Linked DNA regions of Ovis aries. The protein of the gene in region 2 interacts with the protein of the main gene of each other region in a pairwise test. Links are inferred from orthologs where the notes say so. Each region holds a gene or a part of one and is shown on either strand. Other genes may lie near its edges.

Region 1 (4,561 bases), on a different chromosome or scaffold from region 2:
CTCAGGAGCGGCGGGGGAGACTTGCAAGATTTGTCAGGGAAGATGCTTCTAGCTCTCAGGACAGAGCCACCAGAAGAGACGGGGCATGTGGGTTCAGGGGGGCAGTGTCTGCCAAAGCAAGACAGCCTGAGGACGAGGCCACCTGCAGAGGTGCCCAGCAGAGCCGGCTGCAGAGACGCTGTGGAGACCAGGGGCCACCGCCCTGGGGACGCTGCCCAGAGAGTCTGTCCTCCAGCCAGAACATTTCCCCTCGTGGAGGCCAGTCCAGGTCAGGGTTTCTTCAAGAATAACTCAAAATGCCACTTCCTCCAGGGAGCCGCCTCTGATTGCTATTCTTAGTCTCATCGATGAATTGCTAACTCTCTCATTTCCAAACCTCCAGGGCCCAATATCCTTCTAATCTCAGATCTCTTCCTGCCTTCTTTTATTGTCATGCTCTAAGTCAGACCCCAGATACTCTTTAAGTCCATCCCTGAATCCCAGTCTCCCTAGGACAGGGCTTCAGAAAGAGCAGCATGTATCTGCTGAGTCAATTAGCAAATGAGAAAGTATTCATATCATATGAAACTTTAAGATAATTTTGTTGATTTTTATAAGAACTCTCTAGAACTCCATGGTGAATAGATATTTGCCATTTGAATAGTGATTCTAATTTTCACAGCTGGGAGACAGAATTCATTTTGCAGTAAAATGTATTTGCACTGGCTCCTTCCAACATGACAGATAGCTGCCACTCAGCACTCAGAGCAGCCACATGGCCGGGGTTATTGGGACGATGCGCACGCCTGTAGTCCTTACATCTAGCCAGTGACTCACTTGACGTCTGCTGCTCACTTTCATTACTCCTGACAGCCTCAGGGGAGGTCTTCTCCTCATTTTAAAGATGAGAAAAACAGAGACCGGGAAGGGGCTGACTAGGATAGCACAGCCTGCTGTCACAGACAGCACAGAGGAGTTGTGTGTAGCTCCAGTCCTGGGTCTGACGCCTGTGTCTGAATTTGTCGCTGCCAACTGTGTCCCCAGGCTGGGAGGCAGGCCAGTGGGTTCCCGGTTACTCTGCACCTCAAGGCTCTCCTGCCAGGAGCATCCCTCGGCCTTTCCTTTCAGTCTGTTTTAATAAAACCCAGCACACGCGAGGGGGACTTGGGGACCCTCAATCTCCTTCCTCTGTCCGCAACCACTGCTGGAAAGACAAGGCCCACGGATCGTGTCACCTCAGGCCTCTCGGAGAACACCTGTTTGGTTTTATGTTTAAACACTTACTTACATGACCGTCTTCACAGGGGTGGGGATTATGTTCAAGCTGCTACATTTAGCAAGCACCTATATTTAGCCACATGTACTGTAAGTGCCTCGTACCCCTTCTGTTTTTTAGGCGATATAACAGAGACTTAGCAGCACTCACTATGCGCCCGGCTCTGTGTTGATCCCTGGGGATGTGAAATGAGTAAGACGGTGCCTGCTTGGTGGCCGCCTTCCATGGGGGTCGGATAGGTGAACAGATATGGCTGAGGCCACGTGACCAGCACGGCAGGTGTAGGGAGCAAAAGCTAGAGGAACCCAAGTGCAGGCAGGGAGACATTAGCCTGGGCTGATGGGGGAGGTCCCACACGGGACACAAATCTACCGTAGGTTTTAAGAGATGAATAGGGGTTTTCCTGGAAAGCCCAGTTTCTTCCCACATGGAGAAAAATAAATGCTTTTATTCATTCAATATTCAACAAATACTGAGCGACAGCCACGAGTCCATAAAAGCCAGCCATCTAAGAAGTGGTACTAGAGCAGGCCTCCATAAATAGCTGAGTGAGGCAACCAGACACCACCGTCTACACCGCCTGGAGGTTTTTCCACGTGATGATAATGACATGTAGACAGCCTCTCCATCACACTCCAACACTTGGAAGAGAGTGGATGGGGAGGGGGCCCTGTCTACAGTGAGCCCACTGGCTAGGCAATCCAGAAGGCGTACAAAGGTGTCCTGTGACATGACAAGCCAAGCTCTGTCCCCTGTAGGCCCCAGGAATCTCACCCCTTCCCAGGGAACCTGCTGCCCCCGTCTCCCTGGCATCTTTACCCTGCGGTTTGTTTAGCCCAAAGGTTGAATTCTTGTGGGAGGAAAAAGCGTTTGTAAAAGTCACCCTAGCGGGGCTCCGTTAATTTGCACACTTCAAGTTCATCATCAATCGTTATAATAAACTCTGCCCTGGAAACTTTGATGAGAACCTCTCAGCGTGCCTGGGCCCGCTCTAAGCCTCGGTCCAGAAACGAGATCCAGGGAGACCCCGGTTCGCGCCCCAGAGGCGCCCTGTGTGACAATCGAGGCGACAGCGGGTCACACACAGGAGCCGGGTCATTTCGCCAGGGCCATGTGGCCTCCAGGGACTGTCCGCAGGCCTCCGGGGGTCGGGCCTGCGTCACCCCCACGATGCGGCGCACAACCTAGTCGGGCGCTCGCCCCCCACCAGGCCGGCCCGAGGCCACGGTGCGCAGGGGGGCGGCCCCCCAGTCCCGCTCGGCGAGGGCGCGGCGGCCGGGCGGGCCGGGGGCCTGGGGGGAGGGCTCGGCGTCGCCTGCCCGTCCCCGCGAAGGAGGACCCGCGCCCGGCCCGCCGAGGTGCCGGCCCGGCCCGCGCCCCGCCCGCCGAGCCGGCGGACGGACGCCCGACAGCCGCGGGGGAGCCCGGCGCCCGCGCCCCGCTGCGCCCGCGCCCCGCGCTCACCTCGCGCGCGATCTGGTTCAGCGCGTCGTCCTCCGCCGTCAGCCGCTCCCGGTTGGGGAGCCGCTTGCGCCCCGAGCCCTGCGTGCCCATGTCCATCGGCCGCGCCGCCCGCTGCGCCGCGGGACCCCGGCTCCGCCGCCCGCGCCCCTCCGGCCGCCCGGCCCCGCTGCGCCCCGCCCTCCGCCGGCGTCATGGCGTCAGCGGGCGCGGGCCGGGGACGCGGGGACGCGGGGACAGGGGCTGCGGACGCCCGGGGCGGGGGACGCGGGGGCCGGGGCTGCGGGACTGCGGGGACGCGGGGGGCAGGGGCTGGGGAGCCTGAAGCGGGGTGGGGGTGGGGGGACGCGGGGGCCGGGGCGCGCCAGATGGGGACCCGGGCGCGGGGGGCTGGAGTCTGGGGATCCCCGGGGAGAGGGGCACGGGACCCGGGCTGCGGGGATGCGCCGGAGAGGGACCCGGGAGCCAGATGCGCTGGGACTCCAGGGGCCAGGGATCTGGGCGCTGGGGGCTGGGGGCGCGGGGGACGCCTGGGGACCGTGCGCGTGGAGATGCGGGAAGTTTGGGAAGGCTGGGAGTCAGGGCAGCGGCATGAGGATGCGTGGGGCAAGGGGACTGGGGGAGTGAAAGCAAGGCGGAGGTGCAGGGACACTGAGACTAAGAGGGCTGGGGATTCCAGTGGGAGGCCGAGATGGGGGCGTGGGGACGACGGGACAGTGAACAGGAAAATGGCAGGAGGCCTGGGATGGCTCGGGGTGGGGAGCTTGTGGGCGCCAGAGGGGGCGGGGGTGATGGGGGCTCGGGTCCTTGGTGCGGACTGGGAACAAGCCACGGCAGAGAATTCAGACAAAGGAGGCGGAGCCGGAGATGCCTGGAGCCCCCAGGGTTTCCGGTTGGCCCGGTGGGGAGCCCTGGAGGGTGGACTTCCCTAGCAATCCTGGGCTGACCTCCCCAGCGCAGGCGCTACCCCTTGAGTCTGGACCCCAGCGAGGACAGGGGAGGACTCGAAGTGATTGGGTTGCAGAAAAGGGTTCGTACTAAAGGGTGGGTGTAGGGTTCTGGTTCAAACCTGCACCCCAGGTGAGATGAGGTCTGACCTCACAGATGCAGTCAGGTCTCAGTTCAGTTCAGTCACTCAGTCATGTCTGACTCCTTGCGACCCCATGGACTGCAGCACACAAGGCCTTCCTGTCCATTGCCAACCACTGGAGTTTACTCAGACTCATGTCCATTGAGTTGGTGATGCCACCCAACCATCTCCTCTGTCATCCCCTTCTCCTGCCTTCAATCTTTCCCAGCATCAGGGTCTTTTCCAATGAGTCAGTTCTTTGCATTGGAGTTTCAGCTTCAGCATCAGTTCTCCAGTGAATATTCAGGACTGATTTTCTTTAGGATGGATTGGTTGGATCTCCTTGCAGTCCAAGGGACCCTCAAGAATCTTCTCCAACACCACAGTTCAAAAGCATCTATTTTTCGGCACTCAGCTTTCTTTATAGTCCAGCTCTCACATCCATACATGACTACTGGAAAAACCATAGCTTGACTAGATGGACTTTTGTCGGCAAAGTAATGTCTCTGCTTTTTATTGTGCTGTCTAGGTTGGTCCTAACTTTTCTTCCAAGGAGTAAGAGTCTTTTAATTTCATGGCTGCAGTCACCATTTGCATGGATTTTGGAGCCCCCCAAAATAAATTTTGTCACAGTTTCCCTGTCTATTTGCCATGAAGTGATGGACCGGATGCCATGATCTTAGTTTTCTGAATGTTGAGCTTTAAGCCAACTTTTTCACTCTCCTCTTTCACCTTCATCAAGAGGCTCAAGAGGCTCTTTAGTTCTTCTTTGCTTT
Region 2 (4,362 bases):
ATACTCTTAGCTTGTCTGTAAGATGGAGCAGGTGCCACGAGAAACCATTAGACATGCAGAACCCAGAAGTACAGATGGCTGGGACCTCAGGCATCTTTGCCAGGCCCTGCAGGCTGAGCCCCAGCTCTCAGGCCCTGAGCACTGAGGGGGGTGTGTGACCAAGGGACAAGCCCAAGGGACCAGTCAGATGGCCAGGCAGAACTGTCACCCTGAGGATGCCTGAACAGATGACGCTGAGCTCAGAGCCAACTCAGCCCCAATGACTTCTGGCTGCCCTGCTCCCAGAACCGGGTGCCGGAGCCCGGTTGCCAAGTGGGGCCTGCAGCCCCGCACCCATCCCCCTTTCCCAAGCTAAAAATAGGAAAGACAGCGGAGGGGGTTGACCCAGCATGGCCCGGCGGCGGCTTCCTTCATCAGGACTGCCAACCGCCTCCAAACTGTAAAGCGCTCAAAGCCCCTGCCTGTCTGACCTGGGGCCCGCAGACCCTAACCAGGGAAGGGGAGAGGGAAAGGCCACGCCTCCCCTAGCCTCCTCCAAGCCCCGGCCGCGAGGACACCGAGGCCCGGGGAACGCCAGGATGGGCCCAAGAAGCGACCAGAACTCGGCTCGAGCCGGTTCTCTCCCGGCCGGAACCGCGCGGCCGATAGAGGCCACGCCCCGTGCCCCGGCCGTACCTGCGTCGCGGCTTCGGCGCCCCAGCCAGGGGACTCAGGGGGCCGCTCGGGCCGCGCCCCGGGGCCGCCTGGGAATGGAACGTGCAGGACCCGGGAGTCGAACGCCAAGGCCTGGGGCGGGCACGGGCCCCAGGCTCGCAGACGGACAGGCCCCGACTCCAATCAGAGCGCTCAAGGCCAGTGCCCACGTGCCGCCCTGAGGCGGCCTCGGCCAATGGCGGCCGAGCGCCCCTCGGGGCGTGGCTCCTCGGCAAGCTCCGCCTTAAAGGCGCAGGGCCACGCTCCAGGACTCGGCAGGTGGGAACGTGAGCTCCTTCCTGGCAAAGGAAGCATCCGGTGGGGCTCCTGGTCACTGTAGTCTGCGGCCGCCTCTCCCGTGAAGGGTATACTGGTCCTGTCACTTACTGGGACCGCTATGTGCCGGCCCAGGGAGGCCTCCCTCGAGGGGCAAGCGGGCACGTAACCGCGCACCCGGGCTGGCCTCCGACCCAGGACGCATAAGAGTGTGGGCACTGGCCCCGGAGCGTCTCCCGGAGGCTCGTGGCTCCGGACGAGGACCCGGGCGTCCTACTGCCACTGCCGCCCGAACCACCCAGGTCCCCGGCGTTGACCAGCTCAGGAACAGCCGGGGGCCGAGAAGGCCCTTTAGGGCACCGGGACACAGCGCTCCTCGAGGCCCCGCGCCCCAGGGCTGGCCCCGAGCGGCCCCGGGCTGAGAGGCGGGGCCGACGCGCTCCCCGCCCCGCCGGCTCCGCGGTCCCCGCCCCGAGCGCCGGGCCCCGCCCGCGGTCCTCTCCCCTCAGCCCAGCGCCGCCATGGAGGGCACCGGGGTGCTGCCGTTCGTGCGCGGCGTGGACCTCAGCGGCAACGACTTCAAGGTGAGCCTCTGGGCGACGGCCGGGACCCCCAGCCCGCCCCTCCGCTTCCTGCGCGCCCGGGACCGCGGACGGGCTTGCCCGGACCCCGCCCCGGCCCAACGTCCCAGGCCTCCGCCCGGCGCCCGCGAAGACAGCCCAGGCCGGGCGGGGCGGGCGGGCGCGCGTAGGGTCCCGGAGCTGCGCAGGGGCGCGCGGGGTCTGCTCACCGGCTGGGTCCTGGCGCCTGGCCCCAGCAGGCCGGCCGGGGGTCCCGGTCGGAGCTCGAGCTCGCGCCTCCCCAGCCCTCCCCGCCCCTGTGAGGTCACAGCCCAAGCCGGGCCCTGACTCATGGTTACGCCGCCGGCTCTGCGCTACCCGCACCCGCCACCCCCATCCTGTGTGGTCTTAGGCAAGTCACTTCCCCTCTCGGAGCCTCGTCTTCTCGTCTGGTGGAGAGGCTTACCTTGAAACCCCTGGAGGCGGGGATTAGTTGTGGAGGACGTGTTGGGCAGGTGGGCGAGGCCCTGGGTGCCATTTGTCTGAGCAGCTTCCGAACTGGCGGACCAGGGCGGCTGGGAACACCAGCCCAGCCTCGGGGCGGGACAGTGGTTCTTGAGAACTGAGAGTGAGGCCGGAGGGCTGGTGACCAGAGAGGAGGCCCTGAGAGATGGCCTGGTTCCAGGAGGGTCCTCAGGGTGGATGAGTGGGCTGACCCTGGCTGGCGTCAGTGGAGCATCAGCCTGGGTCTGCAGGGTCCAGTGGTCCAGGCAGTGGCTGGGGTCAGGGCAGAGGAGACAGGCCCTTTCTTCCTGTATTTACCCACACTTGCCACCGTGCACACTCCTCTGCCTCCATCCCCACCGTCCTCACCTGGAGTCCCCAAGTGTCCTCTTCAGTCTAGGAGAGTGAGTCACCAGCAGGGAATGTGGCCGTAGGGAGAAGGGGCACTAGCCCAGAGCACTGAAGGCATTAACCTCCCCAGGTTTCTGGCCACGGGGCTGGGGTCCTGAGGTGGGCATTTGAGTCTGGGGGACGAATGGGTGAGTGAACTAATGAATAAGCTATGCCTGTGTGGGAAAGGGTGGGGAGCTGGGGCCTCATGCAGGGGGTGGGTGGCAGGGCACAGGTGGGGCCTTGGCAGAGGCACAAAGTGCAGTTCAACAAATTGCACAGGCAGGGCCTGGATGCAAGGCAAAAACATTGAGTTGATCCGACCTCACAGCTGACTCTGGGGTGGCATCTAGAATAAGCCTTCCTGGGCCAAGAAGCCAGCAGGAGAGGCGGGGCTTAGGTCAGCAGCCATCCTAATCACCAGTGGGTTCTCAGGACGCTTTTGTCATCAGGGGGCTTTCATCAGCCCTATTCTACGGGTGAGAAAACTGAGACAGAGTGGCCAAGTGATGTGTCTGGGGTCACACACACAACTAGAAATGACTATTGCCCCCAAAGGCTCCCACAGACAGTGGGGGCCACAAGGTGGCAGAGCAAGGGTACCATGTCCCAGACCAGCCTCACTGTGACGTACCCGCAGGGTGGCTACTTCCCTGAGAACGTCAAGGCCATGACCAGCCTGCGATGGCTGAAGCTAAACCGCACCGGCCTTTGCTACCTGCCAGAGGAGTTGGCCTCCCTGCAGAAGCTGGTAAGAAGCTTTGGACAGGAAGGGGAGGGTCCAGGTGGATGGGGCTAGCCAGGTGGACAGAGCCTGTGCAGGACATTGCCTGTCACAAGCAGAACTGGTGGAGAGAGGATGAGCACCCTGTCCTGGGAGGTATGCAAGAAGACTAGGTGTGTGAAAGAAGAAAGGTGCAAGAGTGGACTGGACCTGGGTGGCCTAGGGTGCCTGGGTAGGGCAAGGCTGTGGTAGCAGATAGGGGCTCTGTGGGAAGATCCCTGGGTGGGGCAAGGCCCTGGTGGTGGATGGGGGCTCTGTGGGAGGGTCCTTGGACAGGGGAAGGCTGTGGTGCCAGTGGAGGCTCTGTGGACGCCCAGCCCACCCTGCTGAGCCTCTACACCCTGTGCCGGCCCAGGAACACCTGTCCGTGAGCCACAACAACCTAACCACGCTGCATGGGGAGCTGTCCAGCCTACCATCGCTGCGGGTGAGTGCTGCCCAAGACTGCAGAAGTCAAGGTGGGGACTGGGGGCAAGGCCAACCCCTCTGTCCACCCTGGTGTCAGGGGTTTGTGGGGAGAGAGCATGCAGTAATGACCTGAGTTGAGAAACACGTAGGAGAAAAGGTGAAAAAACCTAAGTCTGATCCATTTTGAACTGCTGTGATAGCTGATCCTGGCTGAGCAGCACTCCAGCTATTTCTCAAGGGTCTTTCATGTGATCCCAACCTCCACCAAGTTCACAGAGAGGACACTGACCAAGGGGGCAGGTCACTTGCCTGTGGTTTATCCCCAGTGATAAAGCTGGGGCAGGGCAGGGCAGGGGAGGTGGTCTGGATGGGTCATTCCCCCTGCTGTTCTCCATGGAACCTCCCATCCCAGATGTTCAGGCCATTCCAGTGGTCGTTCCCATTTAAGGTTGGAGCCCTGAGATGCGAAGGGCACACCTCTGGAGTCGGGTTAAAGCTGAGCTCTGCACTTTCCGAGATGGCCCTTCAGTGACCACCGTGAAGTGGCAAAGTGTCACCACACAGACATTGGGCAGAGAGGGAGCCGCAGTGGTGGCTCCTGTTTCTCCTTCTGTCAGTTGTGGCCATGGTGCCTTCCCCTGGTCTGTTCTGCCCCACTCGGCCATCCTGCCCTAATGTCCTGCACCATGAAAGCCTGAGCAGGTTTCAGCCCTAAGGGCACAGAAGACAGGCTTGCTGTGTGTCTAT

Evidence for each region.
Region 1: the proteins of FLII (region 2) and LRRFIP1 interact in binary tests that used the Homo sapiens proteins (3 or more experiments, as listed by UniProt). The link is inferred for Ovis aries from reciprocal best matches to the Homo sapiens genes FLII and LRRFIP1.

The regions. Positions count from the first base shown.
Region 1 is NC_056054.1:3,570,523-3,575,083, forward strand, and holds the start of LRRFIP1 (leucine-rich repeat flightless-interacting protein 1), read right to left. Parts: upstream 2,888-4,561; 5' UTR 2,816-2,887; coding exon 2,720-2,815; intron 1-2,719.
Region 2 is NC_056064.1:34,133,832-34,138,193, forward strand, and holds the start of FLII (protein flightless-1 homolog), read left to right. Parts: upstream 1-1,462; 5' UTR 1,463-1,490; coding exon 1,491-1,553; intron 1,554-1,759; exon of another isoform or gene 1,760-1,864; intron 1,865-3,063; coding exon 3,064-3,174; intron 3,175-3,524; coding exon of another isoform or gene 3,525-3,562; coding exon 3,563-3,634; intron 3,635-4,362. UniProt on the Homo sapiens protein: Is a regulator of actin polymerization, required for proper myofibril organization and regulation of the length of sarcomeric thin filaments. It also plays a role in the assembly of cardiomyocyte cell adhesion complexes.